2 linked regions of the Nothobranchius furzeri genome follow. The protein of the gene in region 1 interacts with the protein of each later gene in a biochemical or structural test. Links are inferred from orthologs where the notes say so. Each region holds a gene or a part of one and is shown in the gene's direction. Other genes may lie near its edges.

Region 1 (4,426 bases):
ATTGCACAATTTCAATTGAATTTATGTAACTGTTAAACACAATGGTTGTGTGGAGTCAAAGTGCTAAACCCAGCTAGTGACAGTGCAACTAACTCATTTAATTTCCTTCTTGCCACAAAAAAATAAATACAATTTTATAGATATGTGTGTGTGTGTGTGTGTGTGTGTGTGTGTGTGTGTGTGTGTGTGTGTGTGTGTGTGTGTGTGTGTGTGTGTGTGTGTGTGTGTGTGTGTGTGTGTGTAGACAACAGATTTGTCAAAGTCAGCTGTTTGATTACCTCACCAGACTTTTTAACACAAGATAGCAGGAAATGTGTATTTGCTGTTTATAAAATTAATAACGACAGCACATAATTCCATTCAGTCAGACCCTGCATTGTGCACACGGCCCACTGGTCAAGAAGAGGCTGCTCTAATGTCATTAGCTGCACCTGTTCCTGCAACAACTAAATGTCTGCTAAAAGGTCAAAGAACTAATGACGCAAAGCAGTCTGGCCATTTGAACACGATGTAAACTGAGATTGCTCTGTGGTTAAATGTGTTAAACAAAATAATCAGTCAGTGTTAAAGGCTTGTAATCTTGATACCACTTCAACACCTCATGCATAGGTTTGGGTACCATTTCATAAAACTCAGAGGGTTAAAAAAACTCTGATTTAAAATATTTTCTATCTTGTTATTTTCTTCCTTTTTGTTTTTAATTCATTCTGCAAAAATCAGCCAGAGCTACTTTTTTATTGTAGTTTTGTGTATATACTGGACTTCTAAGTTTGGTCAACAAAGAAATGTTTTGGTAACTGTCGACATATTGGCAAACCTATTCAACCCGCACCCTTTGAGGTGTTTCATTGAAAATTTGGAGTCGGTTTCATTCATTCAATTTTCTGTGCACCCACGTTGTCACTCAGCTTAGTTTCCACCGGAGGGCGCTGCACGCCACTTTATTCAGTTGGGTTCCTTTCTGGCAGAAGTGTTTAAATGTTTAATTATAGGCTACAGAAGAAACATCGCAAAACAAACAAACAAACAAAAAAAATTCTGAACTGGATTTTTTTTTACCACGAGGAGGAAATCGATGTAATATGTAAAGTATAAATCTTTACTAATGTTAACTCTTCTAGCAGTACTATATTTATTAATTTTTTAGATATTTCGGCTTTTTTATGTTTTTATGGCAAGTATCCTTGATCAACTGCTGTGATCACATTTCATGCTCAGAATTTGTGTTAAAAATGAAATTTGATATACATAGAAATTTTAAATCCGTTTTAAATACAGCCCATAGTTTTAGTGTCATTTGTTTGCATTTAACAGCAAAACAATCACCAATCATATACATCTAGACACGTTGAAACTGACTTTTCTCTCACTGAAAGGGTGCATTAATACTCAATTTCTCTACTTTTATACTTGTGTTTTTATTGTGTGCTTTTGCATTATAAAAAATCGTGTTTGATTAAAGTCTGAGCAAGTGAATAAGTTACAGGTTTTCGACAACATTTTAAGTAAAAAAAAATTCGAATTATTTTAAAAAGAAAATATGCATGTCTGTAAAATGTGGGATTTTGTCCTTTTTTTCGCGCGTTTGAGCCTTCCGGCGCACCGTAGCAGTGATGTGGCTCAGTGAGCAGTCTTCCACGTTACTAGGAAGTACCCGAGAGCCGACGGGGTAGCCCTAACACCAGGAGCTCTTCTAGTTCTTTTACTCATGCTAATATTTGAAGTTGGGAATTGAAGGCGACCGTTTGGGATAAAAGCCGTGTTTTAGGTAAGTCCTGGAGCATATTATTTTCTAACGTGAGTGGATTTATCCAGTTTTTGCTACCAGCGTTAGCAACTATCAAACGTCCTCCATTTCATTGCAAACCTGGATGAAAGCTAAAGCTACTGTTGGCTAACGGTGGCTGTTTAGCTTCCCATTTTATTTCATTATCAGCCGTGTAGACGACAAAACTAGTTTTTATTATTATTTTTTTTTACAATTCTGTCATGTGCCGCCCATCTACGTTTAGACATTCAACGCAAAGGCGATGACATTTGTGCTTAGCTACGTACTAGCTTATTTCGCTATAGCTGTAACAGCTGCTTAATTATCGTTATTTGTTACAAAACTACTGTCAAAATTAAGTGTTTAAATCATGTGGTAAGAGGCATATGATCATAAAAAATAGCATCTACCTGTGTAACTACAGCGATGACAGGTGCCCTGTAACAAACTTTAAATTTCTCATCTTTTTACAGCTGTAGGTTTTGTCATTGCCAGTTTGATCACTACAGCAAAATGTTTAAACTCTCTCATCGACTGTTTAGCAGAAATTTAAAACTTAAAGGCAACAGTCAATGTGTGAAAATCAAGGTTTGTGAATGAAGTCTTGATCAAGATGAAAACATAAATTGCACCACCTCAAGTTGTATATTTCTAATATAAACCTCTCAGTTAGATAGATTTAGCATTGAACCAGCAACCCTCCAAATAAAGCAGCCTGGCCAATTGCTACACCAATTTTAATGAAGGCTATTGATTTAATTCAATGTGTTAGTCTTTTTTGTTCATTAGGTTTCTTGCAGAAACAATGAAAAAAGTTAACTGAGGAGTTTTATACTTTTTTAAAGGTGCATTATATAGAAATTAAGTGTAGTAAAATTTGGTTACTGAAACCACTTAAAACAACTCTGGAGCTTTTTGCCGGCCGTCGTCAAATTATAATTGTCGGCGCTGCAGTATTAGCTCGCAGGAGACACAGCAACCCCACACTCACTGATGGTAAACAGTAGGGATGGACAATGTATTGATATCGGTATCGGCCGATGTTAGTCATTTTTAACATATCGTATCGGTCCGATTAAAAAAAAGAAAAAACGGGCCAATATTATCAACCAATATTTTTTCCATCTTGTCTCCATTTGTTTGCCTGTTTCAGAGGGTGAGGGGGGTGATGTGTGATTGTTTAGTCATGTGAACTGTGAATGAAATCATCTCGGAAGTGTAAATGTGTGTGTTGTGTGTTCATAATAACCTAAATTCAGCTTTAATAATTTTCATTCTATACAAAATCTGCTGATTTTAGAAGCATTGATGTCAGTGTGTCGGTATCTGCAAATATTGGTTTTTGGCCAGAACAGTGATCTTGATATTGGTATTGGCCCAAAAATGTCATATCGGTGCATTACTAGTAAACAGTAGTAACGTCCCTCCTTCCTTTGTTTTGAAAGGAGGAAAACTGACAATTCCTGCAGCCAGCTGGATATGAAACATGTTTCAGTATAACCTTCCGTCCAAAATCACTGAAACTTTAAACTCTTTTGGGATTTTCTCACTGCAAAATTCTCACTATATTCTTACATACTGCACCTTTAACTTCAAAGTGATTGCTTCTCTTATTGATTTGTTTAAATGTGACGAATGTGATGTGTTTTTGTTTCCTCACGTTGTTTCCAGCCTCTGTGTAGATGTCTTTATACTTATTTCCAACATCTTTTGTCATTCAGCATTTGTTTTATCAGCCATTTTTTAACATTTATTTTCCATATTTGCAGGTATTACACTGAAGGGAACTTTACTGGGATTCTTCTAAATCCACCCCGTCCAACAGGCAGCAAAAATGACGGCTGCAGAAAACGTTTGTTACACACTGATCAATGTTCAGTCGGACTCTGAGCCTCCTTCTGAAGTCAGCTTAAAAACAGATCTGGGTAAAATTTCTTCTTGAGATTTTACAAAACGATTTCCTTGTTAACTGTAGTAAAGATGTAAACTTTTGTAATAATTTCTGATTGTGTATAAAGTAATAATTTAACTGGGATCAAAGATTGGATCTATTCAAAACATTTTAAAACTCGTCTTCATGTAAAATGTTAGCTGAAGGCAGGTGTCGTCAGGTAGAGATTTGAACAAATGAAATGTTTTGACATAATTCTAATGTCTTCCAGAAAAGGGAGAGATCAAAGCAAAGACCGAAGCCCTGAAGAAGGTCATAATCATGATCTTGAACGGTGAGAAGTTGCCTGGACTGCTCATGACTATAATTCGCTTCGTGCTGCCACTTCAAGACCACACCATCAAGAAGCTTCTCCTTGTTTTCTGGGAGATTGTTCCTAAGACGACTCCAGATGGCAAGCTGCTTCAGGAGATGATTCTTGTCTGTGATGCTTACAGGAAGGTAAGCTGGGGAATTGTTTTTATTTTCCACATCATTTTCAGCTGGAATAATAGCTGAACAGCTAAAATGATACGTTTGTTCTCAGTACTCTTATTAAAACAAGATTGCAATAATCGTTTCTTTTTTTATTTTAGGACCTTCAGCATCCCAATGAGTTCATCCGCGGCTCCACTCTGCGTTTCCTGTGCAAGCTGAAGGAGTCTGAGCTACTTGAGCCTCTCATGCCAGCGATCCGGGCCTGCCTGGAGCACCGTCACAGCTACGTG
Region 2 (4,347 bases), on another chromosome or scaffold:
ACATATTCATATACATATATGCATATACATATATATATATACACATATATACCATATTTTCCAGACTATAAGCCGCTACTTTTTTCCACGCTTTGAACCATGCATCTTATAATGAGGTGCGGCTTTAGTCAACCAGAAAGGATGGATGCTGGAAAGTCTAATGAAGGAATGGTTAAAGGAGTACTACGGATAGCATCCAGGGGGATTTTTTATCACAGTAAAACGGCGCTGCTTGTTTTCCCAGCTTCACCCCGGGATGATGACAGCAACACGAAGAGCGACACGGACATCGCCACAGAAAAGGTTTGTGACGAAGCTCTTCTGAGGCTGTTCAGCTCCGACACTGAAGAAGATGACTTCAGTGGTTTCAGTGCACAGGAGGACGATGAATAAACTAATCAATAACTTTTCTGTTTTGTTTGATACTGATCAGTTCAGTTAAACTACATTTTCAATTCAGTAGATATCTGCGGCTTATATTGAGGTGCGCTCTATCCACACACACACACACACACACACACACACACACACACACACACACACACACACACACATAAATATATATATACATATATACACACACACACACACACACACACACACATATATATATACACATACATATATACACATATATACACACACTATAAACACATATATATATGGGGCGACGGTGGCACAGGAGTTAAGTTCTCGCCCATAATCGGAAGGTTGCGGGTTTGAGCCCCGCTCAGTCTGTCGCTGTCGTTGTGTCCTTGGGCAAGACACTTAACCCACATTGCCTGCTGGTGGTGGTCGGAGGGACTGGTGGCGCCAGTGCTCGGCAGCCTTGCCTTTATCAGTGCGCCCCAGGGCAGCTGTGGCTACATCGTAGCTCATCCCCACCAGTGTGTGAATGGGTGAATGAATGATTGTGTTGTAAAGCGCCTTGAGGGGTTCCAGGACTCTAGAAGGCGCTATATCAAATACAGGCCATTTACCATATATATGTACATGTGTAATATATATGTACATGTGTAATATATATATATATATATATATATATATATATACATACATACAGACACATATACATATGACACTCCCTCCCAAGTAGAATTAACTAAAGAATAAAATGTTTATATGATGTTGGGTATCAATGAGTTTGATGAAATGCAATCTTTCTAGGACAAAAACAAGCCCAAAATAACCCCTTCATGTCTGAAAACTTCTGTTATCAAAATTACACATTAAAACACACTTCTGAAGATCAGACAGTGAACAGAGGCTAAATATAAAGACATAAATAATACATTGTAGTTCCAAAGATACCATTTTAATGAATGATCATAAATATAAAACACGATTTAGAGCAGAAATAAGCCCAGGCCGTCCCACTCCAGGGTTTGTTTATGCAACAAGGCCAACATTTCGGGGCCCACGTCACTGGTTTCCACGGTGGGCTGATCCCTCCAGCGCGGCTCTTCCGGTGGAGACGTGGCTCTCTGCTGCTGCCATATTGACGCTAACGCGCTAACAATCACTCAACTGGAAGTCAGCTGGATCGTTCCTCACCTTTCCAGAGGGCCAAAAAACATCCTAGCGGTGGAAACACGAGGGACTGAAGATCTCCACACCTCACAGAGTGACCGAATATGGTGAGTTCCAGCTGAGAACGTGTGGAAGTAGCCTGGGCTAGTCGGGCCTGCTGCCATCATAACATTAGCTAACCTGACAAACGGCTAAAGCTAGCTCATTTTCTCTGCCCCAAAACGAGCTTAAAGGGAAACCTTGGACGGCGTTTATTGGACCGTCTTGTCTAACGACTGTTTAAACGGCACACACGGAGTTTATAAAGGTTCATTTTTAAAAACAGAATCTTATTTTTTCAGTGAACTGGACCTAGAGGAACACACAGACACTGCTGACGTTACCTAGCACCTTCAGGCTGCTGGTGTTGTGTCAGAATCCGGATCCCAACTAACCTGAGCTGCTGTCAGGCTCTCCTCAGACAGAAATAATAAACTCCACACACAGAGACATGGTGTTCGTCAGCGGGCACAGCTTCGTTCACCACAGCTGCTTTCTAACCACAGCTAGCTCGACACGTAGTGCCCCCGGTCATGTGAAAGTGAAGTTCCAGCTTTCAGATCCCTAAATGAAAAGTCTTACGTGTTTATAACCATCGTTAAGCTAAGATTTCATTTAAACCAGGTGTGACTTATTTATTCAGGCTTCAGGTGAGCCAGCCCATCAGCGCCAAGGCAAATATTGGTGGTTCCGATTAGGTGAAGCTTACTTACTCTCGCCGCTGTCTCTGACGCGGATCGGCTCTGCCCTTTGGAGTAATTTAGGTGCCTATCCGGTTTATACAGCCACCATCACATAGTTTATCCTACAGGTGTAGTTTTGTTCTTGATGTCAAGGCCTTCACTTGGAGCTGGGATTAGTTTTTGCTCCTTCAGAGAAAGTGGAAATATTCTGTCAGTTCCTTTTTCTTAACCCTGTCTGAAGGCAGCATTTGGTCTAATTGTAACTTTTTACAGACTCATCACACATGCATCTTTTCCCCCTCGCCCTGCAGGTGCTGTTGGCAGCGGCGGTGTGCACCAAGGCCGGAAAGGCCATAGTGTCCCGGCAGTTTGTGGAAATGACCCGGACGCGGATCGAGGGTCTTCTGGCTGCGTTCCCTAAGCTGATGAACACGGGCAAGCAGCACACCTTTGTGGAAACAGACAGTGTTCGTTACGTGTACCAGCCGCTGGAGAAACTCTACATGGTCCTCATCACCACCAAGAACAGCAACATTCTGGAGGACTTGGAGACACTCAGACTTTTCTCCCGGGTGGTAAGGAAACACAGAGCTGTTTTTAATATGTGGGCTGGCTTTGTGAAACTGACCCAGAAGATGGGAGATGAAGCTAAATGTTGGGCTTGATAACAGATCACACGTGCAACATCACACCAGTACAAAGTCAGTTGTCCGTTAGGCCGTAGTTGGCCGTCAGTTACTCCATTAGACCTTGAGCAGTTTAGTTGTTTTACTATCAAACACGGTGGATCGTTTAGATCAGCGGTGCTTGTCCCACAGCACAGCCGGGCTGCCTCCCCCCAGCTCCTCGACCCGCAGCTGCTTCTGGAAACTAAATCAAACTCGTTTAATTATTCTGATCATTATCAGAGTTAAAGATCACGTCCATCTGCTCCTGTGCACTGGAGTCCTGTCTGTCCGTCCTCTCCAGGCTGCTGTGGTTTGGTTTGATGGCGTTAGAGAAAACGTTTCTGTGACCGTGGAGAGTTGGACGTCTCATCATCGCTGCACCACTTGGTCTAAAGCAGTTCGTTTTCCTACTGTTGCATCAGAATATCATCAGATATGAAGCATAATAAACAAACAACGCTCTTTATGCTTATTTATATTTATGAAGTAAAACGGGGAGAAAAGCTAAGTCGGACAGTCCTGTTTTACTCCCAGTCTGGTTTAAAAAGCAGCTTTTCCACAGTTGATGGGATTTAATATGTGACACTTTTAGACTAACTGGTTAATGAATCCTTTCCCTTTTGGTTAACCAAACTAAAATATTTACTTTTTATGAACACATCTTTCTTGGCTTTAGAGATCTGAGCTTAGCCCTTAACATCACACATTTAACATCAAATCCAAAGTTTAGAAACATATCTCATCTTATTTTATACTCCAGGCTCCATTAACCCAAGCATGGACCATGCTATAGCTAGCATTAGCCTCCCTGTAGCATGATAATACACCAGAAAATGCTCGTCATCGTTTTTATGTTGTTGCTGTTTATTCTCTTTATAAGGATAGGTGATTACTTTTATCAGGTTATGTATCACATGACACACTCTGGGTGTGGTGTAGCTAGTATATTGTGTGTTTACACAGGTTCCTTCACTCTTTAGCTTCTACTCTACAAAATGAGACTATCTGAGAGCTTTGACCCCGGCTACAGCTGCGTGAGTCTTACTAACGCCTAGAAAACCAGGCCACACGCTCTTTAGAGCACATTTTGGCTTTCAAAATGATTTGAAGCATTCAAACTTAACGGATAAACTAACTTAAAAATCAAAATGTTTCAGTAAAATATTATAATAGTAAGCCAAAGCAAATAAAAAGGCACTAAATATTTGTTTCTGTCACATTTTGCTGGTGTGGAGACCTAAATAACACGAAGTCAGCAGCTATGTTGGGGTTTGGTTTTAAGGCCCGCTGTGTTACTATGGTAACAGAGTCCTAGCTCACCTGCTCCAGGTGAAACGTTCAGAATTAGGGTTTGTATAAACTCCATCGCTTTGTTTTTGAATGTCTGACTCCTAATTGCTTCGACAGTATTTATGCCATATTTCTAC

What was found.
Region 2: the proteins of copb1 (region 1) and arcn1b form a complex in vitro, tested with the Homo sapiens proteins (2 studies listed by BioGRID). The link is inferred for Nothobranchius furzeri from reciprocal best matches to the Homo sapiens genes COPB1 and ARCN1.

What each region holds. Positions count from the first base shown.
Region 1 is NC_091749.1:61,891,439-61,895,864, reverse strand, and holds the start of copb1 (coatomer subunit beta), read left to right. Parts: upstream 1-1,611; 5' UTR 1,612-1,768; intron 1,769-3,537; 5' UTR 3,538-3,602; coding exon 3,603-3,693; intron 3,694-3,930; coding exon 3,931-4,160; intron 4,161-4,294; coding exon 4,295-4,426. UniProt on the Homo sapiens protein: The coatomer is a cytosolic protein complex that binds to dilysine motifs and reversibly associates with Golgi non-clathrin-coated vesicles, which further mediate biosynthetic protein transport from the ER, via the Golgi up to the trans Golgi network.
Region 2 is NC_091753.1:20,842,789-20,847,135, forward strand, and holds the start of arcn1b (archain 1b), read left to right. Parts: upstream 1-1,469; 5' UTR 1,470-1,634; coding exon 1,635-1,637; intron 1,638-2,563; coding exon 2,564-2,827; intron 2,828-4,347. UniProt on the Homo sapiens protein: Component of the coatomer, a cytosolic protein complex that binds to dilysine motifs and reversibly associates with Golgi non-clathrin-coated vesicles, which further mediate biosynthetic protein transport from the ER, via the Golgi up to the trans Golgi network.